Drosophila melanogaster: one gene and its partners. The protein of the gene in region 2 interacts with the protein of the main gene of each other region in a pairwise test. Each region holds a gene or a part of one and is shown on either strand. Other genes may lie near its edges.

Region 1 (8,423 bases), 2.4 Mb from region 2:
CTGCAAGCGTTCTAAATGCCCAGCTAATTGGCCAAGCGAGTCCGAAAATCGCTAGTAGCAGACAGAATGTCGCTACCCAAGTGGGCCAAAGTGTTTTGCACAAGGCCACTAAAAAGTGGGCGCACTATGTGGGTGGTGTTGTTTGTCTTCTTTGTCGGTTGAATGTTGTAACCCAATGACCCAATGTGGGCCACCCACGCACTCGGAATCTCTTACGAAATAAAGAAGACACAAGGCATTTGAAGTGGGCGGGTTTTTTTTCCCCCATTTCACGATCCATTTGCAATGCGTTCCACTATCTCAGCAGCGTTGATAACGATCTGCAAAGCAAACAGACCGCAAACGATAAGATATATTCGGCTAAACCGGACCAAACCCACTTGTGGGTTCCTCTTGTTCTATTTCTATTTGCGCGCTGGGAAACTGTGGCCATGTCAACGACAAGAGTCAAGTCAATCAAGTGGAACTGCAATCGAATTGGGAGTGCGATTGGAAATCGAATCCCAGACAAAAAGAGGTTGCCACAAAAAGGGATGACAAAGAAAGCCCCACAAATCAATGCAAACGAGGGCCCAAGTGGTCAACAGTCACCACGCATATGGAAAATGGAAATCGTGGGCCAGTCTGCAAGTCGGCTGCCTTTCTCCAAGCTTTCCTCCTGCACTTTGCATAAATCTATAATGAGATTTGGAATGCAACTGTCACACATAATGGCATTGCCACGACGACAACGACGACGACGACGAACAATCTGACCAATCAATGCAGCTTAGCCAGAGGCCACTGTGCTGATATAAGCACGTTTGAAGTGGACAGAGTTGTCTACTACAAATATTTAATATTCCCTCTTTAGTTAGTTCGATTATTGCACACTAAACTCAAATAAACAATATACAAATATACAAATGCTATTCTTGCCAATGCTTTTCACATATATTGTAAATAAACAATATTTAGATTATGGCCCCCCATTCGCAAAGCGGAAGTCCGATGCCCAAATATTTATTGGCCACGATCGGTGTTTACAAACAAAACACGCGCCAGATGAAACAATGGCCATATATTAACCCCCACCGCTGTCGATCGAATCAGTCGGATCAGTTGGCTCCATAGAATGCCATACTTATGGGCAGTCTAGTTGGCTTTTCGGCTTTTAATGGGAAATAACGAAGCAATTGTTGGAGGCGATTATCGAAATTATACCGAATAGAGGAGCTCACTGGCCGCGCACAGTGAAGTCCAGAATGTGAGTAGTTGATACCGAATGCCTTCCAATTGATGGACCTCCGATATTAGCCAGCTAACATGTCCAGCTGCAGACAGTTCAATCCGTTCTACATTGGACCCTATCCGGAGCGTGCGTGCGGCGATTGTCCGTATGGCGAGTACTCGGGCTTCACCAGATGCGGATGGAGTGGCGGTAACGGGCCCTTTGGCACCACCTTCTGTGACTCCCGCTATGGCGGAGGAGGAGGAGGCGGCCAAGGCGGTGGAGGAGGGAGAGGTGGATGTGGAGGCAGAGGCAGAGGTGGTTGTGCGCCATCTTGTGGTCCTCGTGGCGGATCGTGGTCCTGTGGTCCCCGCCCGTATTCCCCGTGCTATCAATTTCCGTACGGAGCGGACAGCTGCATGATGTGCTCCAGTGGATTTGGCTGCTGTGGCCAATCCTGTCGCGCATCCTGCTACTCCTGCTGCTGAGCATGTACGTCTCGTGGACTCTGGACTTCACTGTTTGCGGTTAATTGGTTTCTTGAGTTATTTCTTTCTTTTTCTTTTTTTTGAGCAAAATTGATTGTAAAGCAAGAACAATTATGGTTAGCCCTTTGGGTTTATTATTATGGGCTTGGTCTTAAAATAACCAGATGCTTTACGCTCCAATCGCTAGCGAAAATCCCCTGTAATGGAATGCCCACACATGACTGCCTCTTGGTTATGGAGAACAAAGTTGTCGCCCGCGATAAATGTATGTACATCCCATACATCAAACGAGGCCACTGCGGGTGTGGAAATCCGGGCCAGAATCCGGTGTGGAGAGGAGTAGGGAGGAGAGGAGTGGAAAGGAGGTCGGCGCCGCTAAATGCGATTACAGCATAAACGATTAATTTTATTGCAGTTAGCCGAGCCGGGACGCTTGTTCCATAAACTAATTAAAGCCCAGTGGAAAGTGGACAGTGGATACATTCGCCGCTGACTTCAAAGAAAGGGTTAATTGTGCGCCTTGTGCGGAATTGGTCCCCCTTTTTCATTCCGCTCTCTTGGTTTTCCATTCTTCCTTTGTCTTTTCCGCAGACAACTGGGCAGTTTTCTTCGTTTTCTTTGTTTTCTAGGCCGAAATTACTCCGTGGCTAGATTTGGTGGGCACCACGTTCTCGTTCTGCTCCTCGACGCTACTATGGCCATTGTTGTGGCGGCTGTCATGTTGTGGGTGGCCGCACTCAGCTCTGTTTGTTTGTTTGTTTTTTTCTTTTTTTTTCCATGCTGCTCTGCGTGTTTGTCGCTTTGCTCTTTTTTCCCCTCTGCCTTCTTTTTCGTGTCACGCCTCATTTAGCTTTTCACAACATTTCCAAATTTCCACCCACCCGGTCGACACGTCGCATCGCAGCGCACGTAGTGTCGGAAATATCTGGGGATGTGGAGCAGTGGTGCCTAGTCCTCTGCACTCTCGGCTCTTAGCAGCACACATCAAAATTAACCGAAATAACCAGTGGGATGCGTGTATGCAGCTCTGTATCTGTGAACTAGATCGAGTCGCTTCGTCTTCAGATTGGAATGCCCCTCGTAATGAGCCACAATATGTTCGAGTTAATTGCATCGGATCGAAGTTGCCGCGGGGGAAATATCAACAGGCAGGCAATAGAGTCACGGTAGGCTAGGCAATTTTCCATATATAACGAATATTTGATCGTAATGGATATAAATGGATATAATAATGAGTTAAAGAAAGGCACCCCTGTGCGCAAGCTTTTGAGAATAGCTACCACTTAACAATTTCTTAGCTTACAATACAAGCCAGTAGTTAACTCAACTTGAATGCCATATTTTTCTGGAGTGATTCTATTTATGTAGGGGTATATGTAGCAACCACTTGCACTACACTTCAACACCTGATTTATGCATTTAATCGTAAAATTTAAAGATCGTCATAATGCCAATGAGTCGTAAAAACCAGCCAATTAAAGCCACTTAAATTTGGCAAATGGCAAGCGCACTTTTCCAAATGCATGGCTTTGATTTAATACCTGTGATAAAAGCAATGCGCTTAATGTTGGATCGTGGGATTATCTAGTGATTGTTCCGATTGCAGATAGTATTCGTGTATAGATGAGGGGCTCGAAAGTGAAACTCGCTGATATCGCAAGAGCATTCGATCCATTTTACTTGCCGACTTGTAGGTGGTTCGGAATGCCGCTTGGCATTCGGGTTTGAGCTTCGTTTTGAACTTCGGCTTGGCGCACCTGCCACGAGTGTTCCCCCTCTCATTCTCGCTCCCACTCCCGCACTCGCTCGCAGCCCCCTCCCTGGTGGACTCTCTCCTTCGCACCTTCGCGCGCTTGTTGGTGGGCCGGGCGAGCAGCCGCCGTTTTTCAAATGCTAAAATTGGCGATTAGTCAAAATGATGTCACCGAGTTATTTTGATTGTTTTTTTTCTTTCATTATTTCTATGTATTTATTTCGCTTGACTTTGGCATTTTGGCGACACGCTGACCATAAATTCCGTATTATTGTTTTTCCTGCTATTCGATATCACCGATTGCCAAAGGTGGGCTAAGATACAAAATGCTCTAATCTAAACACCAAGTTGCAGTGTGTGTGTGTGTGACTTTTCATTCGCACGACGCTTAATTATTCGCTGAGCTAATCATTTCACCGACTGCCATATGGCGGTATGTGATCTAATCTCAATGAGCAAAAGGTCTAGTTATTAAGGCATGCGGCTCAGTTTGATATGGAATTTTTCAACTATGCGAACTTGGATGTCAACCAGACGCAATAGTTAAGGAAATTCATTAAAACTTCAAACATTTCAGTTCCTTAAACTTATCTTGTATGAAGTATTATAGAGGAGATATCAATATACCCGTTAAGCTTTTTAATATAATTTACACAATTTCATAATTTCGTGAACGAGCGAACATGGGGCGTGGCGTGAACCACTAGACTTTCCAACGGAATGCAAATAGTTTAACTATGGTTTCCCACATAGCAAAAACAACCAAATCCGAACTTTCCTCCTAGCTGCCCGCAAACATATTTAGTTGTAAACTAAATTCCAGGCGCAACCACAAACAGGCTTGGTTCAAAGTGTGGAGGGGAGGGGGGAGTGTTTTGGGAGTGGGCGCAGGGGGGCAGACACTTTTTATGAATGAACACTGTGCGCTGCGTCGCCAACGCGTCACTCATCCGAGTTTTCCTATCGCGGAAATCTACTACGCATTTCAGTGGGTAAGTGAGGGGGGTGGAAGGGCAATCTTAGCAACATTTTATTGGTATTGTTTATGCCCGGGAATTTGGTAATATAATCCGCACATTATTTGTTGTTTACCTTTTGTAATTAGCAACCTTTTTTAATACGTCACTTTTTGTTGGGCTGCGCGGAGTTGCTGCTTCTTCTTGCTGCTCTTTCTCCTCCTTCTCCTGTTTCTCTGCACTTATCGCGTTTTATTTTCACCTGCTGTTTACACACAATAAACGATGAACGGTAAACGGAGTTGCCAAACTCGCGTTAGCGAACGAGAGAGCAAGATGCAGCGCCGAGATAGAGAGCGAAGATGCTGCGCCCTTTTGGCCTTTGGTAAAAAATATGGTAACAGAAAAACTTCTTTTTTTCGGGCTACGCTTATGGGCTCAAAACACATACACACCGACGGCAAAAACGCACACACACAAGCGAGCTCGCAGGAATTTTGAGCCTGGCTTTAAACCGCAATGCTATGCAAAACTTTTTTCTGGCTTGCCAACGGTAAATACGCAGCGCGATTTGCGATTAGCTCCGTGCGAATATCTTATCAACGGATTTTGTTTACCCAAAAACCACTTCCAACATTGCGCCGCGACACTGCTTCGACACCCACAAGCCAGCAACAACAAAATCGTTGGACAGTGTTACCAGACGACGAAGGGCTCCCAATTGAATTCGTACTAAAAAATGACACAGGTCCAACGAGCTTCTAATTTGAAATTACAGTCTTGGCACACAGATCAGAAATTGATACAGGCAATAAGCTGATTGGATCTATAATGTTAATTTCGTCAAAAATATCAAAATAGTTCATATTACGTGATATATATAGAAAATTTTAGGTGGCAGTAAAAACTGCTTTACCAAGGTGGCAACGGTAACTGGTGTGATTTTTTGCTTAATATGAAGGGCATGTTAGGTTTGTAACTTCGCTAAGTAAAACAGGATGTAAAAATAGCCTAAATTTACAAATTCTATAAGTTTGATTATACTAAATTAAATTTATTTTAAAGACGAGAGCTGTGCAGCAAACTACATCTAGATGACAGGAAAATCCATTTAAAGCATAACATATAATTTCACAGCTCTACTTGTGCTTTTAACTGCATGTAATACAGGCGTAAGTTCTACTCTGCCTTTTTATGTGCTATGGATTCCGAATCCGCCTTAGTCTGGCGTTCCTTGCGAGCTCGCTCCTTGAGCTGCGCTGTTTTTAGAGTCACCATCAGCTGCGTGGAGTTGTAGAGCCAAGTGCCCTGCAAATAAGCAAAGATAAATACACACTTCATGCAGTGGAAACACTATAACTTACAATCAAAAGCATGCAATTAAGCAAAATAGGTATTGAGAAAACTGTCGAGATAAACAGGCCGTTGCTATCGAAGTATTGTTGTCTGGAAAAGGAACTCCAGTTGTTAGCAGCGAACTCATTGATGCTTTCGGTGAAGTAGACTGCCAGCACTGAGGAAGATGAAGCACATGCAAAAATCAGAGTCATTTATCGGGTAAGTCAAGGAAGCCGCCAAGTCCACGTACACAGTACTAGGAAGAGGAAAACCTGGAAGTTGGAGCTGTTCCGGCTGAGCAGCGCAGTGGTGGTGGTTAAGATATGCGCCAAAATAAGGCCAATAAGCCAGGGATCCTTCCAATCGATCTGCAAAAATAGTGACAACTTGCCGGATTCTTGATTTTTGATTGTATATAGGCGAGTATCTTACGCTCAGCAGAAATGTCCAATAGCCATTGATCTCGTTGACCTCAATTTGCCCTGGGTGCATCGTACAGATTTTTGTGAATATAAATGTTTCCTGTATATATTTTGCGATATATTCGAAAGCCGAGTCAAAACAAACATAAATAGCCATTCGCAGCGAACAGCTGTCATTTTTCATGGCAACGCCATTTTGGGAGGCCTATAGACGTTCAGGCTTCCTCAATTTTGACTGGATCTGGTAGCGCTGTTTGTAAGACCTAACTTACTATTTTATGGGCTAAATATAACAACATAAATCAAAATACTATTATTTCGTTTAGTATGTATTACTCACCATATAAATGCAATTACAAATTTTGTGCCACCTCATTCTCACCCACCCCGACTTGTCGTGCAGAGTCGCCCTGCCCGTCATTCAGTCTGAACGTGTCGATAACGCTTTCACTGACTCAGTAGACAACATTAACAAATCCGAAAAATATCACAAAGAATTCGTTTTAAAACAGTCAAAATTGTAGTTTTTAGGGCGAATCAAATCTATTCGGGTTATTAAGTCGAACGGGCGACGTGTGAGCAAGCAATCGAAGCTAAAGCCGAGCAGGGTAATCCGAAAAAAGGGGCGCCTTAGATGTGGCACGGGCCACCGACCCTACCGTGCACCACACTCGTCTAGGACTCTGTTCTAAAGCGCTTGTGGCGGGAGTTTCTGGCCAGGATCGGGCAGGGATCGAGGCGCACTCGAGACCCGTTGAAAGGTCGCAGTCAAATCGTAACGACGACACGTAACGGAGCGCGGTTCAAGGACACGCGGCTCAGACTCCTCGCTCAGAGTCGCAGGCAACGAAAAAGCCGCTGTGTTCGGGCGCTAGGCAAGCCCACGCCTCCGCCCATCGGCAACTGGAAGTTCCAGTCGGCCCTGTGGTCCGCAAGCCTTTGTGCCACTCACGTCCACGCCCACGCCAAGCGATTGAAACGCGAAATGGCCGTTAAGCAGAATAACAGCGAGGCGGGTGATAATGCCTCGGATAATGCCGGAGGAGCTGGCAACGGCATTCCGCCCAACGCCAAACCCATGTCCGCGAACGGAATGGCGAATGCCGAAGAGAACGTATTGCCAAAGGGCATGGACACGGGTTCGCCCGCTGGCGAGAGCCTGAACTCCAACCGATCGGGCAAGCGGGATATTAAGGCCCTGCTGGCATACCTCCAAAGCATCGATATGCCGGAGCAAGGCCACAATGTGATGGCCATCTGCGAGAGGGTTATCGTGGACTTGGCCCGTCTGCAAATTCCACGAGGCGCATCCTGTCCACGCCTAAAGGAAGACGTCTGCCAGGTCGGTGCCTTTCTGGCTACGCGCAACGAGAAGTTCCACCAAATGTTCTACCTGCGTGTCGTCTACGAGCTGATCACCAAGTCGCCATTCGAGCCACCACCCTCGTGTGCCGTGGCCATTGTGTTCCAGCTGTTCGACTCCACGCAGATCCTGGAGGCTGTACACTCGCTGCTGGAACAGAATGTGCAGGACTCGAGCATTAAGAAGACGGTGAACCTGCTCTGTGATTGGATCACGTACTGCACCTTTTGCAGCACTCTCAATCTTTGGGTGCTGGCGCTGCTCAAGGGGCTAAGGGATCAGGGCAAAATGGCGCTGCTCGACGAGATTGCAATGGACAACATCGAGAAGCTGTTCCACGTGATGATCTTTCCGGCGCTGAGGCAAAAGGCCGCACCGGTTGTGTTTCACATGCTGTCAACGATTAATCAGACCCCCGAGGTTTTTCACAAGGTAAACACTTCACTCAAACATTAGCTTCAACATAATTATTGACATTTGGTTGGTTACCCTATTAGATCTTGCCAAGGATCCCACGAGTCCTGCAGTATGTGAAGAATCAGTCGACCACCATGGACGAGATTGGCCTGGAAACCAAGAAATGTCTGCAGCAACTGGTCGACCTAACCAGCGCCCTAATGCTACGTTTCTATGATCAGGATGAGCTCTATGTCGCAACCAAGAAAGCCCTGCAGACCTATGAGCCCTCTCCGAATTGCGTGGCTCTGGCAAAGGCAATGCATGAGAATGCCCAGCCGTGGGGTCGGCGGAATGCGAGGGTTGGACTCGTTAACCTGGGGAATACCTGCTACATGAATAGCGTACTTCAGGCGCTAGCCATGACCAGCGAGTAAGTAAAGATCAAATGAAGAAACCCCACTTCTAATTTCCCCAAAGTAGAAGCGCAAAATAAT
Region 2 (8,513 bases):
CTTCTGGTCGAGGCTATCCACTGAGTCGAATGTCGGAGGAGGCGGCGTCTTTGGCCGCCTCAAGTCAATGTCCATACTCGATACATCTATAATCGGCGGACTTGGAGGAGCTGGAGGATGGCCTGGTTCGAGTATTTGAAATGTAGCTAGAAAATTGATTTTGCTTGTGGACTAACATTTTCTTTTCTTACGGCAGAGGAAGGTAGTTTATCAGATAAAAGCAAGAGGATAACAAAATGTGAATTAAATTAGGCAGAGAATTCTAAGCAAAGAAAATCGGGAAAGTGGTTGGAAAATCATAACAAAATTATAAAGGGGGGGACACAACAGGGCCAACAAACACCAGGCACAACAATCAGGCTAGAGAAACTGATAGCAACTAATGCATAAATAATAACTTAGGGAATCCACGGGCTCCGTTGGGGAACCAATGCAAAATCTAGGTTAGACTATAAAAATATAAATAGTAATTAAAATTAATTAAAAGGGATAAAAGTGCCGTTCTACAAATACAAAACAATATAAATACATATACAAATTCAACACTAGCTGGCTTGTATATACATTAAAGCCAACTACAAAATATGCTTAAAATAAAAGTAAACTTAATCTGGTTCTAGATGTTCCATAGACTTGGATTTTAGTTTAAAAATGTTTGTTCACTTCGGGTTTACACGTTTGTTAACAGGAAATTAAAACTGCAGTCTTTATTTTATTGAGTTTCTCTTCATCTAATAATTGTTTATCAATAGGAAGTTTAAGGTACAAAAAATACTTCACAGTTAAATCATTTTGGTTTATTTTTGGTTCGCTTTCAATTTAGTTGTACTTATTGTTTTGACATTCACAAATCGAAAATCATTTTCAAAATCATACCAAAGGCGGCACCTGGCTACATTTTGCATCAATTAAAACAACTTGGAATGCAAAAGGTTTTCAACACATTTTATTTACACTTTGCTTTTGATTCGATAAAACTTGTTAGATTTTTCTAAACGACGCTTAAGTATTTATAAGAAAAAATATATCATAAATATTTAATTAATTGTTGGCGGTTAGTTGCTTTAAAACGAAACAAATTTCCTGCTTCCAATAAACTGGGCCAAAAAACAACGAACGAAGAACCAAATTTCAGCAGTTAGTGGAATCTTTTTATAGACATCTTTGTCAATAATGTTGATCAGTAAGTAATACTGGCAATGGTCGCTTTTATAACCATCTCAAATTGTTGTTCAGTAGTAATTTAATATGATATTTATCAGAATTCAAGCAAAATCTATAGTTTAACACATTCCATTGTTGGGAACGCCACTTTGGTATCACAATTGTACTTATCACAGACTTCGGTTAGAGTTGAGCAGAAGATTTCCACTTGTCAACCACATACGGTCCCAATAACCCGCCCTTCCACCAACCTAAGCCATCGAGTGCCGCCATTCTGGTTGATATATTCTAAATTTTCAACTAAGCTGTCTGTAGCTCTAGGTTCCAAGTCAAACCAGACTTGGTTGTTCGCTAACAAGTGTGAGATTAGAATTAAAAGTTGTTTCTTACGTTTCTCTAAATCTTTTGGTGCTTTAGCTGATGCTGGTAGTGATGCGCCCGCCAGTGGTAAGGATGATGGGGCAACTGCCCTGCTCTCTGGTGACTTGCTTCGAACTCCGGTGCGTAGGTCGACGTCCATAAAAACTGGAGATCGACTGCGGGAACGCAGAGAAGAGGTCTTTCCTCGCGACGAGGATGACTTGTGCGACGTGCTGCGCTTGGATTTGGAGGGCGAGCTACTTGGTGAGCTGCTCTTGCGTTTCGCGGATCCCAAAGGAGATCCATTGCGAACATAGCGATCCGAATCCTTAGACGTGATCTTACCGGACCGCTTAACTGTTGGCTGGTTGGAGCTGCTTGCAGTGACACCCTTGTGCCGAACATCAGAGCTCGACGAAGATGAGGAAGTCGTGGAGCTCTTTGACTCACTTCGCTTGCGGCTCGACGAACTGCTGTGGCTAGAGCTTCCACTCTTTCCAGACCGACTGCTGCTGTTGCGCACAGGCGATTTGCTGCGCGACCGACTAGACTTCTGTGAGGAGCTAGATTTGGCCTCCAGCCGAGGATCGTTTCGTGCCGGCGCAGCTGGATGTGAGGATGCCGCATGCATCTGGCGGGCTAGTCTCGGATCTCGTTGGCGCACCGAGTTCAACAGTGCCGGATTGACAGGATGGACTTTTGGTTTATTCGCAAAAAGCTGTAATTCCATAGTTGAATTAGATTTTTTATAGCTTCCACCATCATATTTCACAATTTACCTGCGGAGCCACTGGCATGTTATGCATTACGGGACCAACATTGCCCATTACTCCTGGAGCTCGTTGATTATGCACTGCTATACCGGGATCCGTGATTGGCGGACAAATTGCTGCTGGAGTGGGAGCAGGCATAATAATCGGTGCTCCAACCATCGCGTCCGTGGTTTGGGTCAGCTGACGCTCCTGCTCCTCTAAATGCTTTTTGGTTTGCTCCAGCTCCAGTTCCAGTTTGCGCTTCTTGAGCTCCAGCAACTCACGAGTTTTTGCTTGCAAAATCTCCTCCATGTCGCTGGTGATTGTGGGGTTACCAGGCATCCCAGGAACCAAACCCTTTTTACAATTGAATGGATACATTGGTCTAACTAAAGGGATTAATAGTTATTTGGGGCACTTACCGGTTTTAAGAAATCCGGATTAACATGAATGGCCGGATTGACGTGAATTTTGTTAGTTGGCTGTTTGGCAGTAATGGGCCAGTTGTTATCTAGGCGCTTCACCTTAACGTCCAGCGCGTACATCTTGGATGGCGGGAACACCTCGTTCCAGGTCTGACGCAGGGCATACATGCGTTCCCGCACCTTTTCCAAAACCTGCGACTGTGAGTGCTGGACCTGCAGGATTGAAATAACATTAATGAACCATTGGATTGACATTAAGAAAATGATTTCGCTTACCGATTCGAAGGCGTGGAGGAATATGTTGACTATGCACTGTCCAAACAATTGGACGTAGCTGCTTTTCACATTCTTTACTATCGAATCAATTAAATATAGTATGGGCAATTTAAATTCGGGCGCCACCTGTTAGAAGTTTAGTAAAATAGGTAAGAAATAAAGAAGAATAAGTGTCTACGGAACGTCGCTAGCGGAGATTCAAACGGATAGGTTGGAAGAAAACTAATGAGACAGGCCGATGGACAACACAAGAGCAGGGTCAGCGATCGTCCACCGAAGTCATCATCCTCATCTGCTGGTGGTGGGTGCCTTCATGCCAAGGCGGTCGAACTCAAACAATATCCTAGCCTACAGAGAAATATTTTCCTAAGCATTGGGTGTTGAATGAGGAAACGCGGTGTCTAAGGATCTCCAAACATTAAGGGTTACAGTGTTGGCGTATGATGTTAGCGGTCTGTTCCCTTAGCCGAGTGAATATGAATGAAAATCGCAGTGACAATGTGGCAGAAACAAAGGCTTTTACTACTCTTACGTATTATGGACATTTGTTTTTGTTTGGCTGCAGTTTTTTTTACTTTTACGAAAACTTGCACTTTTCTTTTTGTAATACAAAAATTGCTGCACATCAATTTTTTTTATATTGATTGTAAGCAGTCAAAGTTTTTGTATAAAATAAAAGACAACTTGGTGACAATTGTTTAAGCATTTTCTCTTTTTATTTATTTTTCAATATTTTTTTAAAGGTTGTTTGTTATTCCTTAGCTTTAAACTCTGGGATCCAAAGTAGAAAGAAATAAGAAACGAGGAGCAGGTTGGTTAAACTTCTTACCTTTGTAGATGATTAAAATCAGTCACGGTTTATAACCCAAATTATGAGATATATACTAAGATTATTAGGAACCTATCTACCATTTGTGCCCAAGAGTTTGCAGAAAAACCCAACTGAAAGAACCGAGTCTTAGAAACGCATATGTGTGGCCTTCGTTGGGTTTCTCTGCAATCAAAGGGCAACCGCAATCAATAAACTGCACATTCTATCACAATTTCGATATGGAGAATCACTTTTAGTGTCGACCGTCTATTAGCTGTGTGTAAGCTGGAGTGTCTTTGTTTTTAAGTAAATACGCTTTTGTTTTGTTAACCTGGCTGATGTAATATTCCACCACTTTAACTATGATGTGGGCGTAGTTGATGTTCTCCTCGGCAAGCATCGTGAGCATATTGATCAATGGCTTGCTGTTGCAGTTGAGGTCCTGGAGACTTGACAGATACTCCTCGCCGATCCTTCGCTCATCGTCGCGGTAATTCTGAAATAGCTGCTCCATTGTGGACTCTGTATTCCAGATCTTGATCCGGATATTGATCAAGTTATTTGGTTTGAAGTAGTCGCAGTTGCTATGTTTCGACTGCAAGGGAAAATATAACAAAGTAATTAAATGACATGAAAAGCAAAGGTAATTTGTGTGAAAAAGTTTGCACTATTAATGGGATTTTGTCGGGATATTTTGGATGAATAATGTATTAAGGTTGCGATGTTTGTTAGCGATATCTTCATCTCTGCCCATTTTATTTGTAATAAACCGTGATGCACTGAAATCTTAGGCTGCACTATGTGGATAGATAATCCTGTATACAGCGTATCTATGTATGTAATTCGTACCAGACGTAAACAATCACGCGCGTCCACAAACACAAGGTAATCTCTTACATATATACACACACACACGTACGGAATGACGACGAAAATTCAATATGGCGGCCATGAGCATATTTTCGCATGTGTGGCCTGCCCGAATAAATTAACCAATAAAGTGCTTGTTTTTCCTTTCTGTACATCGCATTTCACGCTTTCACGAAATATTTACGTTTTAGTGAAACTATCTCGTTGCTTAAATTGATTTAACGGAGATTTTCCCAGACAAAGCCACGTTTGTGTTACCACTACATACACACGCGAGTTATCAGTTCGACTTCAATTTACTTTTTCGCGCTGCAGAACATTTAAAAACATACCTTTTTAAGCTAATACATTTGTACAATCACTGCCAGACACTTTTGCGAGGAAAAAATTTCACAAAAGCACTGCTACTATATAAAAATTAGCTTTTGAAAACTCTCACGTAACAACTGCGATGTATTTTTGATGACTTACACTTAAAAGTGTGGCCGTCGACGTGAAATGGAAATTATACATTTTATACAATTTTTATTTAAGGAAATATACTAAAAATATACCATTAAGGTATTTTTTGCATTAAACCGCGTTGCCAACCACTAGAAATGTTAAATTTTAAAGTGCCTTTAAAATTGCAGTATAACTAATTAAAAAAGAAATTAATGTTAGAAGTGTTTTATTTATTTAGTTTTAATGCAATATGCACTATTTAATTTTATAGGCGTTGCCAATTGAATTAATATACCACCAGGTGGCGGTAGTGGGCGATCCGAAAATTAGTATTGTTTCTTTAACTTCATTTCTTCTAGCCAAGTAACGGGTATCTGATAGTCGAGAAGTTCAAGAAGACTATATAATAAGTCTGATATTAGATCAGATAAAAAAAGAAAGAAAAAAAACAGATAAGAAATGCAAAATTCTTATCATACTTTTAATTACGCTCATATAGTAAGCAGAGAATAAATGCATATATTGCATAGACTTTTTCTTCAAGGCGGGTGTTCTACAGTTATCTCTCACTATATCAATTGCATTAACTTGAATCACCGTTAAAAGCTCGTCAAGTCCGAGCTTCAGTTCGATTTGTTTTCAGTGCGCCTAAATTCTATGAGACGAGGTTATCTGCCTAGGTCTGTTTACACTACTGCAGCTGATTGTAAGCGGAGCGAATAGAGGCGTTGGTCCAGTGTTCAGTTCATAGTGAATCTATTCGGGGAGAGGATGCTGGATGTAGTGGCTCTACTGCTTATTGCCCTGGCAGTGGGCTTCTGGTTCGTGCGGACGAGATATAGCTACTGGACCCGGCGGGGCATTGGCAGTGAGCCGGCCCGGTTTCCCGTGGGGAATATGGAGGGATTTCGGAAAAACAAACATTTCATCGACATTGTAACGCCAATCTATGAGAAGTTCAAGGGCAATGGAGCACCCTTTGCCGGATTTTTTATGATGTTGAGACCTGTGGTCTTGGTCACAGATCTGGAACTGGCCAAACAGATCCTCATACAGGACTTCGCCAACTTTGAGGATCGGGGAATGTATCACAATGAGCGGGATGATCCTCTAACTGGGCATCTATTCCGCATTGACGGGCCCAAGTGGCGACCCTTGCGCCAGAAAATGTCCCCCACCTTTACCTCAGCTAAGATGAAGTATATGTTTCCGACGGTCTGCGAGGTGGGCGAGGAACTTACTCAAGTTTGTGGCGAGTTGGCGGATAATGCCATGTGTGGAATCCTCGAGATCGGTGATCTGATGGCTCGCTACACTTCGGACGTGATAGGACGGTGTGCCTTTGGCGTGGAATGCAACGGCCTCCGGAATCCCGAGGCGGAGTTCGCCATAATGGGCAGGAGAGCCTTTTCAGAGCGTCGCCACTGCAAGCTGGTCGATGGATTTATAGAGAGTTTCCCCGAAGTGGCCAGGTTTCTGCGCATGCGCCAAATCCATCAAGACATTACGGATTTCTATGTGGGCATCGTTCGGGAAACTGTGAAGCAGAGGGAGGAGCAGGGCATCGTGAGGAGCGACTTCATGAACCTGCTGATCGAAATGAAGCAGCGCGGTGAGCTCACCATCGAGGAAATGGCCGCCCAGGCATTTATATTCTTTGCGGCGGGATTCGACACATCCGCATCAACGCTAGGATTTGCCCTGTACGAGTTGGCCAAGCAGCCGGCACTGCAGGCAAAGCTACGCGAGGAAATCGACCAGGCTCTGCGGTTACACAACGGTGAATTCACATATGATTCCATGCAGGAGCTGCGGTACATGGAACTGGTCATAGCAGGTGAGCCCGACTCAAAACGAATTTTAAATATTACAAAGATGATACCATTTACCACTGTATCTTTTAGAAACCCTTCGGAAGTATCCCATACTACCGCAGCTCACTCGGATCTCCAGGCATCTCTACGCAGCCAAGGGCGATCGTCATTTCTACATCGAGCCGGGTCAAATGCTACTGATACCGGTCTACGGCATCCATCATGATCCCGCCCTATATCCCGAGCCACATAAGTTCATCCCGGAGCGCTTTCTGGCCGATCAACTGGCGCAGCGACCCACCGCCGCATGGCTGCCCTTTGGCGATGGACCGCGAAATTGCATTGGAATGAGGTTTGGCAAAATGCAGACGACCATTGGCCTGGTCAGTCTGCTCCGAAACTTTCACTTCAGCGTCTGTCCGCGAACTGACCCAAAAATTGAGTTTCTCAAGTCCAACATTCTGCTGTGCCCCGCCAACGGAATTTACTTAAAAGTCCAACAGCTTAGCCAAATGAGTAGTTAGTGCTGCTTATTAAATCGCTATCTGGATTGTATTCTAACATTTAGTATCTACATTTTACAATGCTGTTATACAAATACACAATCAAATGTTTTTATCAATCAACGTAGTAGGTACAGTAAAACTGCTGTATATCTAATCAAGCTTCTTGAGCTTAATTTGTTCGATTAAATATTTGTATTTCGTCACTGACGTTATCTTAGCATTTCACCAGTTCCAGGGATTTTAAATAATGAAATCTGTTTTCCAAGTTTCATGCTTAATTTGTACATTTACGTTGGCAAAAACCAAGTTTGCAAAGAATGCAATAAAAATTACTGGAATTCGCTTTGTTTATATTTTTTTGATTGCGTAATCGCTAGATTGTTTATATACAGAGATTGTATGTATATAGATTGTTTGTTCATATATGTGTATACAACCATTTTAACTGCGCATATGATTCCCTAATTATTATTTATCACATTGAGAACAAACCTTAAGAGAACTTGAACGGTGAGTTTTGTGTGTGAAAATGAGAGATTGGCGAAAAGAGCGAAGTCCTCATACGCGAATGAGCTTGCGTTGTGGCATCCCACTTTAAAGTCAGTTTGTATTGGACTCTGGACGTGAAATGTTGTTACTGGCGCTAATCGTTGTGATACTATCACTGCTCGTCTTCGCGGCCCGACGACGTCATGGATACTGGCAGAGAAGGGGCATACCGCACGACGAGGTACACCCGCTTTTCGGAAACATCAAGGACTGGCCAAATAAGCGGCACATTGCCGAGATCTTTCGGGACTATTACTTCAAGTACAAGAACTCCGATTACCCATTCGCTGGATTTTTCTTCTTTTTCACCCGCACTGCTGTGGTCACCGACATGGAATTGCTCAAGAGGGTGCTGATCAAGGACTTCAATCACTTTGAGAATCGGGGAGTCTTCTACAACGAGATCGATGATCCGCTGTCGGCCACCTTGTTCAGCATCGAGGGTCAGAAGTGGCGTCATCTGCGGCACAAACTGACACCCACTTTTACGTCCGGCAAAATGAAGAACATGTTTCCGATTGTTGTGAAAGTTGGAGAAGAAA
Region 3 (6,734 bases), on a different chromosome or scaffold from region 2:
CGCTCGCATTGACTCAGGCTCGGCGCATTTATTTGCGTTCTGCACGTGCACAAACAAGAAACAAAAATGCACCAGAAATCACTTCGGTATGCGATTTGCGATAGTGTCTTCGAAAACCATCGGTTGTTCAAACAGTTCGATAGGTAACTTCGAAAGTTATCGCAACAGTAGATATGGCGATATGTTGTTTCGAAAATAATCGCTAAAGCTTTACGATATTATGCACAAAAAAAAACTAGTCGCAGAATGGTTAAACACGTAATAAAAAAGTTTTATGACTACATTCTACATTTCAGTGTCGGTATTCTATAGTGATTTACAATGGTTTAAAGTAACTTTTTCCCGACTCGATTAGCCGATTACTGTCGATAACTCGGCGGTGCTCGATAACCAGTGTTTAAAATACTAAAGGGCCAGGACAAGGCGGAACATGTCAGAAGCCCGCCACGAAGAGATTGAGGGCATCCATTTTATCCATTTTGCTCTCTGCCTCGAAGACGGGACGGGCCCCGCAGGACACAAGCGCCAGGCAGTCCACACAGTTCCATAGGAAACAAAGTCTGTGCCAGACGTGCATCAGGATCGGGGGCAGCTGGTGTTCCAGTGCTTCTTGCAGTTTCTGTATCTCGTGGCAGAGGAGCCGGAGACGCTGGATGCGTCGCAGCTTTACGTCCAGGATGCGACTGTGGAAGAACAGACTAGATAGCCCAACTAGACGACTGCGGTCAGTACAATACCTTCGAAGTTCAGTGCAGGCGTTCTCCACGTCGTTAATCCTCATCCTGGTTACGAACAGTTCCTGACTGATGTCGAAAGCTCGGGAGCACAGCATGGCAGTTCGTGACTCGAAGAGGTCAGATTTATCCAGCGCCTGAGGAGGAACTGCTTTTACTACAAACAGTGGTCGGACGAATCTTTACAAACCAGATTCCTGAGCTGGCGGTTCCGCTCCTCAAGAAATTGGGTGCGCTTCTGGACATCCGCCAGCTGCTGGGACATCCCAGTCGGTACAGTATTCTGATGATGTAGGTCGACACCATGCAGCGAGGATAAATCACTCAGCGGAAGCTATTCGCCGACAAAGTGGTAAGTTAGTACACCCCACATGACCATTTTCAAAAGCCATACCGTGTGCTGGGTCCTACCCAGCTTTGTGGTAAACAATTGGAGGCCTGCGTTAAGCAGGGATCGCTGGGAACTCCGACTAGGTGAGGCCATCGATTCTAGAGTTACGTTCCTAATTTGGAATTTCGGTTTGAACGCGAACAATTAGTTAGACTGTGTAAAAATAAGCAAGTGTGGAAAGTACGGAAATACTCACGGATAAAACCGTTTGTAAGTTAACGGGTGAAGCGAGGAGCTAACGACCTTGTTTGAAATTCATCAATAGGAAAAAAGCCAAAACTATTGTTTTAAATACGAAACGTTAAAATTCTTTATTTAGCAAAAGTAAACCAATACGCCATTGTGTGGCAAGGGAATGAAACGCTTACATCTTTGATCTCTTGGGCCAAAAGTGGCAACCGCGGCGGGAACTCAAGGAAGTCCCCACAACTACAATTATAAATATACACAGATATAGTTACACGTTTATAGAGTTTTGCATACGAGTACCCATAATAAATACTCAACGATTGCATGAAAATATAACAACAAATCTCAGCGGTAATACACATTAAGTTGATTATTTAGCGAACTTGGGGCAACGGCTGGCCAAGCTTCTTTGTCCAGTCCTCACGGGTGGCCGGGTCTTCGATCTGGCCACGACCGAGGCACTTGCCCTGCGAGATTAGCTCGGCAAACTGGGCCACAATCGGATCCCGGCCGCACGAAGCCACCGCTGTCACCGTATCCGCCTCGTTGATGAAGTAGGCCACAAACTTAAAGTCCTCCATGCTGCCGTCAATGATCACATCCTTGTAAGAGCCATGCCCGGCATACCGAATTCCCTTGCCGAAGATGAGGGTGAAAAAGAAGGGCACGGCCTCCAGCTTCTTTACCCCGCCGCACATGTTGATGGCCGCCACTCGTCCATGGTATTGAGCCAGCTGGTAATGCCCGATGTTCACGCGATCGTGGGCCAGCCCGTGAATGTGGGCGTTTGCTATATCACCGCCCACATACACATCGGGTACATTGGACTCCAGGAAATCAGTGACGTCCACGGATCCGTTACGATTTACCTTCACGCCCGACTTGGCCAGAAATTGGGTGTTGAGCTTGGAGCCAGTGCCCAAGATCAGCAGATCGCAAGGCAGACGCGTGTCATCTACCAGCACCACCTCTGATACCTTGCCGTCTTCGTTGCCAACGATCTCGGCGATGCCGCTCTCCATGCGCATGACCACCTTGTTGTCCTCGAACAGCTGGAGCACCCTCTGACCAATCTCCGCGCCGAATGCGGCCTTAAGTGGGACGTTTTCACGACCCACAACCGTGACGCTTTGCACTTTGGAGACCAACCCAGCAGCTGCCTCCAAGGCGATAAAGCTCGATCCCAGACAGACGACGCGGGACTCCGGGGTGATCGATGCCAATATCGCCTTTGTATCCGCCAACTCTCGGACAGTGCGGACGTTCTCCAAGTTAACACCGGGAATAGGCGGCCGGAAGGCGGAGCAGCCTGTGGCCAGGTAGATTTTATCGTACTTCACCACGTAGCCATTGCTGCAGTGCAGCTCTTTCTGAGCGGTATCCAACTTCTCGGCGGCGACTCCTTGCCACAGTTCGATATCGTACTCTTTGTAGAACTCCTCGTCGCGGAACCGCAGCTGCTCGATCTCAAGGTTCATAGCCTTGGAGATCTTAACGCGATCGTAGGGCAGATAGTCTTCGCGGCACACAAAGATTAGGCGCCCAGTAAAGCCCTCCTGTCGGATGGTTTCCACGGCTACAGCGCCAGAAGGACCACCGCCAACCACGATGAACACTCGCTGATCGTCGGGCTTGCGTCGGACCATGTTCTTGAGTCGCTTGTTATTCACCAGATCCGATCGCTTTGCACGGAGCATCACCTGTCCCTCGTTACCCACTTCCACGCGATAACATGGCAGGGAATCGAGACCAGGAAAGTCCTCAATGTCTCCGTTTTCCAGGTTAAAGCAAGCGCCGTGCCAAGGACAGCGGACACGACCCAAACCCAAAGCTCCAGTCTGGAGCGGAGCTCCGTAATGGGTGCACTTAGCACCCACTGCTAGCAGACGATCGTTCTGCTTCACGAGCAGCACGCGGGTGTCCTCATCGAAGTCCACCTGCTTCATTTCGTTCTCCTTCAGATCCGTAACTCTGCAGTCCACGGGGACCGCACTTGTGTACTCCGAATCCGGCGAAGACTCTTCCGTCGACATGGTTGTACTGGGACTCTGGTTGCTGCACTTGGACTGGTAGGAACCCACGGCACCACCTGCCGAAGCCATCATGTAAAGAGACAAGCAAAGAGAAACGGAGATAACAATACAGATAAGAAGAGTGTGTAGGTGAATGGACACATCAAAATTTTCCAGTTTTTCTCCAAGGGTCCAAGGGAAATTCTGGCACCGCTTGCTGCTCAGGTAGAAACAACAAAAAACGAATATCAGTCGAGAAAATGCTTCGCTCGCGTTCAGAAGTCTTTGTGTGTTTGCTTATGATCCTGGGATCAGTTCTGGTCCGTTCGAATCTTGGGAATCCTCAGGAACTGGAGCTAAGTGCGCTGCGCACCCACAAACAGCTATTGCAGGCGGAGATCGCACGTCTTTTTTTAGAGCAGCCGCTTCGAGCGGAAACTCAACTTCTGCTGGAAGATCTACAGCTAAGAGATCATCAAATAGGCGTTCAGATAGAAAAGCTCGAGGAAATCTCCAAGGGCGAGACCACGCAGAGGCTGGCCATCAATCTAACGGCTGACTTTGAACACCTGCAGCATAAATTGGATGATTTGAAACGACAACTTGAGCTGCTCGACGGACGCTTTGCCTCCCAAGGGAAGCAACTGGAAGGACACTCGTCGGAAGGCGCATCGCCGGCTGGCCCCGGATTAGGTTCCTTTTTGTGGGGACCCTTGCTGACCATGCCAGAGTTTCCACAGGGCAGTGTGGCCAGCGACCAGCAACATAACCACCACCAGCAGGATCATTCCCCGGATCCGCAGCAGGATTCCAGTCCCTCTATCATTAAAAGAGTGCTGGACATGCTTAGGCCATCCATAGGAGTATCAGGTCTGCGGAGTCGTTGGACTGAATCCGCAAAATCAGCTGCAACGGGCTTGGCAACACCTAAGCCCACTCACCCACTTAGTGCTGAGGAGCTCCTACCGCAGCTGCAGGAGCAGCGCAGGTTTCTGGACGATGCTATTACGCGACTGGAGCTCTTGGCCGTCAAGAAGGGCTCGAACAAAAACTAAAATATGTGGAAAATCTAAGTAAATCAAACACTTAAATCCATCTATCCAAAAGTTGAGCTTTGAGATTAAACAGAGGATCAATATTTATTTACTTAAATTGCCAGAGATCATCATTCATAACCAGATTCGTTGAGTCACTGTCAAAAATTCAGAGAAATTATACTATACCAAATAAGTAAAGTTCGTTTCATAATGATTTGTGACCATTTCCGAAAACAATTGAACTAAAATTAGATTGAACAGTCACCTTAATGAAAAGTCTAAAGCAATAAATACTAACTATCTTTAAAACCATGATATGTAATTGTAAAATTGTGTGTGTCAGGGCACTTATTTTAAGCAACACCGAGGATAGGGTAGCAGCTGCCTAATTGCCATCGATGGTTACCTGACCACAACAAAGCGGATCCTAGCGACAAGTCCGAATCGATTGACTCATCCGACCTACTGCAATGTCACGTCAACTAGGCATACCTAAGAACCTCAAGTTGCTACGTCATCAAGAAAAGCCAGGCGGTGAGGAAAACACCTATTGTATAAAGCGTAACCGTAACACCTGTAAACGTGTGTCGGTTCTGTTCTGATATGGCGATAATGTCTACACGCCCCTATCTCAAGTGACTGGCTTTATGATGTATGGTAATATGGTATCGCTGGTATATGTATCGCCGATATGCCCATGATAGAGGAGCTGATGATTCGGCTTTTTGCGGACGGAGGCGTGCTGATCGGAAATCAAACATTTCCATCGAAGCAGCAAACATGAAAAACAGCAAGTCATGAATTACCCAGCGAAACAGATGTAGGGACAACTTTTCCATCGAGTCGGTTAACTTCGACCCTGCACTGTACATTTGCCAATCTCTTTCAGTTCTCTCATCTAATTAGCAATGATTCGCCATGTTAATAACACAGCTGCGTTTTCCACACACACACGGACGCGTATACATGGGAGCAAACCAAACCGGTTGGCCTTGTCCAACTCAAGTGAGTCAAAAGCCAGGCCAAATAATAATAATAATAACAATTGCACGAGAACAAGTTTCACCGAAATATATAACTCACAAAATCGGGTATCACAGAAAAGGACGGACAGGCCGCAGCTAAGAGAACGTTCCGTCTGATATTAAGAGCTTGCCGGCAGTTGGCGAACGAATGAACTGGAGACCGCCGTTGGAGCAGCCAATTTAAGCGAACTGGGGCCTCATTGGAGAGCCCAAGAGAACGAATGCAAGACATGGCAATAGACAATAGGCAGGCACACAACACAGACGAAATTCCGATGGCGGTGACTAACCGCAGTGGTACAGTGGCCATTGCCTAACAGAGACACGCAAAGATACCCTGTAAGACTCAGAACAGGAAACTTCAGAGCGTCGCAACCATACATAGGAGCTCCTGTAACTCCATTCAAGGTGGTAAAGATGGCCATGCTATTGGATATCCACAGGGAAACTGTCGCTTTAGGGGAATTAGTACCCGGGATTAAGTATTCCCGCATCGATAGCTACTGTGGCAATGACGCAGCAGCAGTTCAAGCAAGTTGCGCCCTCCCGCCGTCCCTATCTCTTTGCCAATCTCTTGGACTTGTGCCGCTGAGACAATCATCTAGGCACCTACGCCCGGCCCGAAAACACCCATCTAATGCGGGTCATTCCCACTCTCCTAATCACAACTCCAAGCCATTTGGCCTCGTTTAGTTGGTAAAAGGAACACGGCACTGGTGGCAATCGGATCATCTACGACATTACCACGCACTTTTCGAATTGAAGTCGGAAAACGAAGGGATTGGTTTAAGTACATTTGGAACTTTTTTTTTGGGCAAGATGATCTTATTTTATTGGGAAGAAACCATTTGCGAGATTAGAAGTGGCGCAGTCAAATTGGAAATGCGACCTTGCCTTGTTGTTTGGCAATTGACCTTTCGAAAACTATTCATCTGTAAATCGTGCATTTACCTGTCGACTTCTCCTTTTTGGGAGTGCTGCCCGTGGTCTTGTACTCCTTGCAGTTGACGGAACCCATTGTGTTTAACAGGCGGTTGTTGATGTGGCTCGCAAAAGACGGGGCGTTGAGTATCCTCCAGGATTGGCTGGACGGGAGCTTGCGTATCCTCAGAAGGCCTTCAAAGGCTCGTTTCGTTTTGACCAAGCTCAGAGCTGTGCGAGGGGACTGCCACCTGAAAGTTGAGTGGCCAGTTTAGGAGCTTTACTTTTCACTTAATAACAATCAATCACTGTGCCAAAGCTCGTTATCAGTTAGTTAGTTCCCGCGTGTTAATCATTTCTATTTAATTATTCCTCCACAGCCTGAGTCATCAGCCGCAGATGGATGTGCTGAACTCCCCCAAACG
Region 4 (7,574 bases), on a different chromosome or scaffold from region 2:
TAGATCCACAACAACAACTTCCACAAGTGGCCCAACGACAACTACTCCTAGATCCACAACAACAACTTCCACAAGTGGCCCAACGACAACTACTCCTAGATCCACAACAACAACTTCCACAAGTGGCCCAACGACAACTACTCCTAGATCCACAACAACAACTTCCACAAGTGGCCCAACGACAACTACTCCTAGATCCACAACAACAACTTCCACAAGTGGCCCAACGACAACTACTCCTAGATCCACAACAACAACTTCCACAAGTGGCCCAACGACAACTACTCCTAGATCCACAACAACAACTTCCACAAGTGGCCCAACGACAACTACTCCTAGATCCACAACAACAACTTCCACAAGTGGCCCAACGACAACTACTCCTAGATCCACAACAACAACTTCCACAAGTGGCCCAACGACAACTACTCCTAGATCCACAACAACAACTTCCACAAGTGGCCCAACGACAACTACTCCTAGATCCACAACAACAACTTCCACAAGTGGCCCAACGACAACTACTCCTAGATCCACAACAACAACTTCCACAAGTGGCCCAACGACAACTACTCCTAGATCCACAACAACAACTTCCACAAGTGGCCCAACGACAACTACTCCTAGATCCACAACAACAACTTCCACAAGTGGCCCAACGACAACTACTCCTAGATCCACAACAACAACTTCCACAAGTGGCCCAACGACAACTACTCCTAGATCCACAACAACAACTTCCACAAGTTGCCCAACGACAACTACTCCTAGATCCACAACAACAACTTGCACAAGTGGCCCAACGACAACTACTCCTAGATCCACAACAACAACTTGCACAAGTTGCCCAACGACAACTACTCCTAGATCCACAACAACAACTTGCACAAGTTGCCCAACGACAACTACTCCTAGATCCACAACAACAACTTGCACAAGTGGCCCAACGACAACTACTCCTAGATCCACAACAAAAACCTCCACTTGTGCCCCAACGACAACTACTCCTAGATCCACAACAACAACTTCCACAAGTCGCCCAACGACAACTACTCCTAGATCCACAACAACAACTACCACAAGTCGCCCAACGACGACTACTCCTAGATCCACAACAACACCTTCCACAAGTCGCCCAACCACAACTACTCCTAGATCCACAACAACTACTTCCACAAGTCGCCCAACGACAACTACTCCTAGATCCACAACAAAAACTTCCACTTGTGCCCCAACGACAACTACTCCTAGATCCACAACAACAACTACCACAAGTCGCCCAACGACAACTACTCCTAGATCCACAACAACAACTACCACAAGTCGCCCAACGACAACTACTCCTAGATCCACAACAACACCTTGCACAAGTCGCCCAACCACAACTACTCCTAGATCCACAACAACAACTACCACAAGTCGCCCAACGACAACTACTCCTAGATCCACAACAACACCTTGTCCAACTACAACACCATCTGCAAGTCCTACAAGAACAACAACAACCCGTCGTCCTTGCCCTTGCCATCCCCAGCCTCCTTACCAGATTCCTCCTTGGTCATGGTGGTATCCGAACCCGACCTACCCCAATCCCGTGTGGCCCTGGCAACCTAACCCAGTCGTTCCTCAATGGCCACAGATGCCCGGATATCCAAATCAGTGGCCACAATTACCAGGTTATCCCCAGCAATTACCACCGCCGTTGCCATCACCTCAGTGGCCGTGGTCTTGGCCAAAACCACCAGTAGTTCAACCTGGCGACTGTGAAAACATATGCGAAAACCTACTGAAGGGAGTAAAATATCAAGAAGATCTCATCAGAAGGTGCTTGTGCACACGAACATAATCCTTTAAAAAAGAATCACGTAATTGTTTTATTAAAATGTTGTCTATTTAAAAAAATAACTTAAAACAAAGTTTTGATGGTTAAAAATATCGAACGGGTATGGTATGGATGTAGGTTTGATGATATTGAATGGCAAGTCTATCCTTCAGAAGTGGGAGGAAGGATTATGGATGTCACAATGGCGCATGCGCCTATATGGTTTTTGGATTCCCATGTTTTGCTTAACACTTTCGTCCCTGAGAAGCTCAGAAAGCTTGGGCGCCATTCATCAACAAGTTTGCATTCGGACTTCAGCACTCTAATCGACACTTGACTACATTATTACTTATTTAAACGCAATCATTTGACCCATTATTTTCCGACGCCTTTGCGTTTGGTTGCACTGCATTGCTCATGCGACATATGGTCGCACTATATGTTTGGAGCACACATTCGGACAAGTTTAATGACCAATTGCCAAGGGATTGGAGAACTCACTGCTCTTCGAATTAGGTTAGCACATTAGCTGGTTAAGGACAAACGTGGATTGAAGTTAGGATGGGGAGAGAAACAGGAAAACTTAACGAGTTCTAGCATATGATAATGTGTACAGCCATAAACTTATAGCTAACATCGTAATCCGTGCACAAGCTATTAAAAACTTCAAGAAGATATGTCCCTAAATTTTTCCAATAGTAATAAATATATAACCAAATTTACTCTCTCTGTAGGGCATACTACAATCCTAATAAGCTATAAACACTCCAGAGCAGAGCCTCTAATTTGCTGGTAATTTATCAAAATCTAGATTATAATCCTGCTGATGGATTATGTTTCGGGTCGATTAGTACCCCAGTTATAGGACTACTAGAGTTCGTCCTTCGTTCAGCTGAGCTTGCACATTTCCTACACAATAAGCAGATGTTAATGGCTCCCTTCTTTGTTGTTTTTGTTAACTTGTTAATACAAATACACCGTGTGCCAATTCACAAATCCAACAAGGTATAGTGGACATGCCAACAAAAAAGCTAGCAAAGCAAATAACACATTGTTGACAAACAGCGGGCTATTGGGGTGAACCTTCAAAAATCTATTGAACAAAAGTATTACTCGTCATATGTATTGTAGCATTTTAATTAAGGAAACATGTATTTTAATCAATATAACTTAAACTTAAAGATAGTAATGGTTGCACATGTCGTATGCGCAATTTTCATGAAGAGTGGTCCGCTCTAAAGGACACATACGTGGTAACAAGGGGGCTACGCTGGCCCCTGTCCCCACCTCCCGAAATGGTTTGTGGGTGGATTTGGTGTGGCCCTGTCCAATGGCTAGCGCGCAAAAATAATTTTTGTTATTGTGTTTTCCCTCATAAGTGGACATGACGGACCCAACGAAAGCTCATTCAGCGCTGGACAGGCGAACTGGAAAGGTCTAAGACGGAAGATGTCATCGCCGGCAGAGCGGGCGAACTTCGTGCAGCACTTCGGACAGACAACCTGAGTGATGGGCTGTGGCTCCTCCATGGATACGCAGACGAATCCTGTCGTCACGGAGGTCAGCTCGGAAATGCAACCTCGCCAGAATGGCGCCTCTGGAGTAATAGCACTTGAACAAGTCGTCTTACCTTTGCCATAATCAATACCTCTTCCATTTCGTCATCAGAATGTGGTCGAGCAATATGTGCGCCTGGACGAGCAGATCAGCAAGCTGGAGGGCACATGTCCTGGTCCTCGAATGGCCACCGCCGAGGCCTGGGTGGAGCACATTCAGAGCAAGCACGAGGCGATGCTGGGACTCGATGGCATGGGAGTGTCTCCTTTGCGCGAGAGGGAATGGGAAACCGAGGAGGCCCTGCCCATTCCAGCTTACACAATGGGGGGGCGGCAGGGCGACCCAATTGTGGCCAACACGCCCACCAAGGACCTGGCCCAGGTAAATGGCCTGCCATTAGTGAATGTGATGAACTTCCCTCAAGTATATTATTACCATTCGACTTTAGCTTGCCTACAACCTGGGCGTAATTGGCGATGCCCGCAAGGCTTCCATGCACGAGGATTTCTTCGCCAACCTGAGCGAGTCCGCCATGTATTTGCTTAGCATTCGTTACTACGGCGAGATGTTGGAACACACTAAGGTGCGTCTAAAGACTCTGGCCGAGAGCTATGCAGAGCTGAACGAGCTGTACGTAAAGCAAGACGGGATTATAGCGTATATAAGCGGGGGAACGTACATGACTCGGCTGGAGGAGAGCATTGATGAGCAGCTTGAGACGGCAAGAGATACAAGGGATAAGCTGGGCAGCGCACTGGAGCAGTGGCGCATCTGTGGATTACTACTTAGAGCAGCCGCGAATTCCTCGACGCAGGCATTAAAACAATGGCGACAGCTTGGACGGATAATGTGGGTAAATTAATTCCCCACTTAGAACTTGTTGACATGTTATTTCTCGTTCAGAGATCCCAAGCAAAAGCTTCAGTGGGCGTTGGACTGTCGAAGTCTGTTACACGCCTCCACGATATCCCTAGAGGCGGCTCAGCTGGCTCTGCCGCACGTGGAACTCAAGTACATGAGTCATCGGCAAGTCCTAGCCGTCAAGCACTGCAACACCTACCTAATCACGGATATAGCAAACAAAGCGCGGTAAGTTAATATATAGATTTCTCTAGAATCTTCTACAAAGGGAAACGAATCCCTTTTAGGTACGAGCACACCAGTCGGGTCTTCACCAGTTACGAATCAAACATGTCCAAAACCTGCACGTGGCTCTACGAAACCTTTAACAGCACGCTGCGCCCAGACTACGACAGGGCGGAGGAAACTGTATGCGGGCTGGCCAAGACGCTCCGGGATCATCGCGAGGAGGTCTTCAACACGGTGCGCAAGTGACATTAAACTTATTGCTCAATTATATGGGTATTTTGTACATTACTTTAATAAACAGTAGGCATAACATTAGTACCAATAGCTCTTGACTGGCGTGCGTTCCTCTTTGATGCCCATTTCCTCCATAATGTCCATCTCGAATGTGGACAACTTGGGCTGAAAGGTGATCTCGCCCACAACAGCGCCTGAAAAGGACAGACTTGTATGACTAGGAACATATTGAAATGCGATAATAGCCCATACCTGGCGTATCCTTCTCCCTTTCGATATAGGCGTTTGGTGTTTTATAATCGTGCGTCTGGTTGTTCGTCTCCGGGATGGGTATGATTCGGCCAGATCGCAAGGACACCCGCACTTTCTCGCCCTCCTCCGTGAAACGCCACTCAAAGTCGGTGCCCTGAAGATCCGATGGGTCAACCAGACGAATGTCCTTGGTGACGTGCAAAGGTGCCTCGGACTTGATAATGATACCGGGAAACTCCTTCTCACCGCCAACCTTGCGATAGTGCCAGTTCAGGCCCTCTACAATTACCCAATTGCGCTCGGGTATAACCTGGGTGACAATTCCCTGCTTTCCTTTGTCTTTACCCACAAGGACTTCGATACGATCGCCGCGGAAAAAGCTCCAGTCCTCTGAAAAGGATATACAACCATGTTTTATTAGGTTTTAGAGGTCAAGGCTTCTTATTCCTTACCAATTGGTTCCACTAGCACCTTGCGACGCACGGTTCCGGGCATATTTTGCTGGCGGAACTGACCCGTCCATGAACGATTTGTGGTGTAGCGGAATCTCTTTCGCTCCACGGTACGCGGTAGGTAATTAATCTCCTTCGGAGTTTGCCAGTACACCTGTGTTGAGATGAAAAAAAATATTTTAATAAATGTGAAACATTTTCCATGCGATGTGTTACGTGAGCCGCTGTTCACAAGTTGTTCAATGAAAAAGACTCTTCCTGTTACCTGTTTTTTGCTGCGCTCGATGTATTCCTTGGGCAGATTGGAAAAGTTCTTCAACTTGCTGGCCAAATATTGCGTTAAACGCATTTTGAAAGGTTAATTCAATTATTAATAATAAGAACTAGTAAATTAAATGCGGCTTGCAATCAGCTGTTGAGAACTGAAGAATAGCCATTCACAGGAAGGCCCAACAATTTTATTTATATTTAATGTTTATGCGACTCTAAAGATTATGAACACTTGATGTAGGCTTGTAAAATATTTAAATTAATTATTTTCGAGGTTTAAGAAAATATCTTAGCTTATATATTGTTAAACATTATGATATAGAAATTTAAGAACTAGCAATTATTTCCCCGTGTAAACGTGGTTCGCTGTGACTGGCAAGAAGAGGTAAGAAGAAGCAGCTGCTATTTGTGGACTACTCTTGGTGTTTTATATCGTTCGCCGTAGCCCTAAATTGCAATGCAAACCGGCTTTATATAAACAAAAGGTAAGTGCTAGACCATATAAATGTGGGCACGTGCGGGCGCAACATCATTGGAAGACGGAATCGCAACCGGAGAGCGTCTATTCCGGCCAGCTCAGTCCAACCGTTTGGGAAGGGCCTTTCAACGCTTAGTCATATCCATATCTCAGCGCACACCGAGACAATCCAGTTCCTACCCACCCATAAGTTCCTCATTTAACAAGCAATATGTCCCACCACATAGATATGGAAGACCGCACTGATACGGAGCCCGTGCTGCTCTCCAAGCACGCCAAGAATCTGCTCCGATTCCTTAATCTCCTGCCAGCTCGCATGGCCTCGCACGATAACACCAGGTAAGTGCATCCTGGCCTCGTATTTAACTTTTGGTTAACCATTTCCTTGTCCATCAGGAGCACCATTGTGTTCTTCGCCGTCTGCGGCCTGGATGTGCTAAACTCATTGCATCTGGTGCCGCCACAACTGAGGCAGGACATCATTGACTGGATCTACGGAGGATTGGTAGTGCCACGCGACAACGAGAAAAACTGCGGCGGTTTCATGGTGAGCATAAATTCGCGTCTGTCAGGTGTACAAACAGTCGTTGACAAGCCAAACAGAACCATCTTCCGCTCCCACATCCACTCCCAATCAAGTTCCTTATCTCCATACGTGGCCAGGTAGCAGACACTGCGGCAGACGTTGTCGCATCCCTTACATATTGGTGTTTATTCAGTCAGTTGATATACGAGCATTCGCATTTCCTTCATTGAGAAGCATCCACGAAGTAAATATTTTGAAAGATTCATTTCCAACAAAAAAAGTATGCAATTCTTTATTAGCATTTATGAAGTTTGTTTTTGTTAAAAATATCTAAGAAGCCACGTCTTGTTTCCCCATCATGCATCACATATTTCATGATTCCAGACCCTTTAGTTTAAATTACAAATCTAAATTTTGTTTTTAAATAATTGGATTCTAATGAAAACCCATTAAATTGTTAATTCCAAGGTCAACGCATCTGCTTTACATAAAAAGCAAAACGGCATTACTTCTGTTACGATCTATACTGTTTAAATATGCATAATTGTAGAGGAGTTCTCCATTTGCGCAGCAGCTCGATTTACCATTACCCACCACACCCCACCCACCGACACCTTGAATTTATCGCGCCACGCTTTATCAGCGACGCCAGCAACATGCAAAACCACTTTAAAATAGATTGATTAATTAATTGGTATCTTTGCAGGGCTGCCGCGCCATGGTGCCCAAAACCGAGGACGCCGAGATCTTGGAGTGCATGCGGAATTACCAGTGGGGCCACTTGGCCATGACGTACACCAGTCTCGCAGTGCTGGTCACCCTGGGCGATGATTTGTCCCGACTGGATCGGAAAAGCATTGTGGACGGAGTGGCTGCTGTTCAGAAGCCTGAGGG

Evidence for each region.
Region 1: the proteins of Pcf11 (region 2) and Dyb interact in a two-hybrid assay, tested with the Drosophila melanogaster proteins (one large-scale study listed by BioGRID).
Region 3: the proteins of Pcf11 (region 2) and CG4194 interact in a two-hybrid assay, tested with the Drosophila melanogaster proteins (one large-scale study listed by BioGRID).
Region 4: the proteins of Pcf11 (region 2) and synr interact in a two-hybrid assay, tested with the Drosophila melanogaster proteins (one large-scale study listed by BioGRID).

The regions. Positions count from the first base shown.
Region 1 is NT_033778.4:12,434,011-12,442,433, reverse strand, and holds the start of Dyb (dystrobrevin), read right to left. Parts: upstream 5,090-8,423; 5' UTR 5,045-5,089; coding exon of another isoform or gene 5,025-5,044; 5' UTR 4,544-5,024; intron 1,802-4,543; exon of another isoform or gene 1,699-1,801; coding exon of another isoform or gene 1,306-1,698; exon of another isoform or gene 1,297-1,305; intron 1,247-1,296; coding exon of another isoform or gene 1,245-1,246; exon of another isoform or gene 1,114-1,244; intron 1-1,113. Other genes in the region: CG30334 (uncharacterized protein), read left to right, coding at 1,306-1,698; Tmem18 (transmembrane protein 18), read right to left, coding at 5,587-5,715, 5,772-5,920, 5,996-6,113, 6,178-6,237; DUBAI (deubiquitinating apoptotic inhibitor), read left to right, coding at 7,153-7,962, 8,028-8,359.
Region 2 is NT_033778.4:14,865,930-14,874,442, forward strand, and holds the start of Pcf11 (Pcf11 cleavage and polyadenylation factor subunit), read right to left. Parts: upstream 5,143-8,513; 5' UTR 4,991-5,142; intron 4,384-4,990; 5' UTR 4,303-4,383; coding exon 4,120-4,302; coding exon of another isoform or gene 4,042-4,119; exon of another isoform or gene 3,717-4,041; intron 3,104-3,716; coding exon 2,978-3,103; intron 2,915-2,977; coding exon 2,699-2,914; intron 2,634-2,698; coding exon 2,304-2,633; intron 2,243-2,303; coding exon 1,555-2,242; coding exon of another isoform or gene 1,376-1,554; exon of another isoform or gene 684-1,375; intron 147-683; coding exon 1-146. Other genes in the region: Cyp6a22 (cytochrome P450 6a22), read left to right, coding at 5,874-6,939, 7,007-7,440; Cyp6a17 (cytochrome P450 6a17), read left to right, coding at 8,051-8,513.
Region 3 is NC_004354.4:2,065,021-2,071,754, forward strand, and holds CG4194 (uncharacterized protein), read left to right. Parts: upstream 1-3,571; 5' UTR 3,572-3,586; coding exon 3,587-4,381; 3' UTR 4,382-4,668; downstream 4,669-6,734. Other genes in the region: CG14054 (uncharacterized protein), read right to left, coding at 434-683, 738-871, 925-1,068, 1,129-1,218; CG4199 (uncharacterized protein), read right to left, coding at 1,689-3,403, 6,340-6,406.
Region 4 is NT_033779.5:4,939,521-4,947,094, forward strand, and holds synr (sayonara), read left to right. Parts: upstream 1-3,221; 5' UTR 3,222-3,331; coding exon 3,332-3,424; intron 3,425-3,490; coding exon 3,491-3,760; intron 3,761-3,827; coding exon 3,828-4,228; intron 4,229-4,282; coding exon 4,283-4,468; intron 4,469-4,527; coding exon 4,528-4,714; 3' UTR 4,715-4,780; downstream 4,781-7,574. Other genes in the region: Sgs1 (salivary gland secretion 1), read left to right, coding at 1-1,846; mRpL24 (mitochondrial ribosomal protein L24), read right to left, coding at 4,781-4,896, 4,955-5,344, 5,407-5,560, 5,672-5,755; betaggt-I (beta subunit of type I geranylgeranyl transferase), read left to right, coding at 6,384-6,493, 6,551-6,701, 7,387-7,574.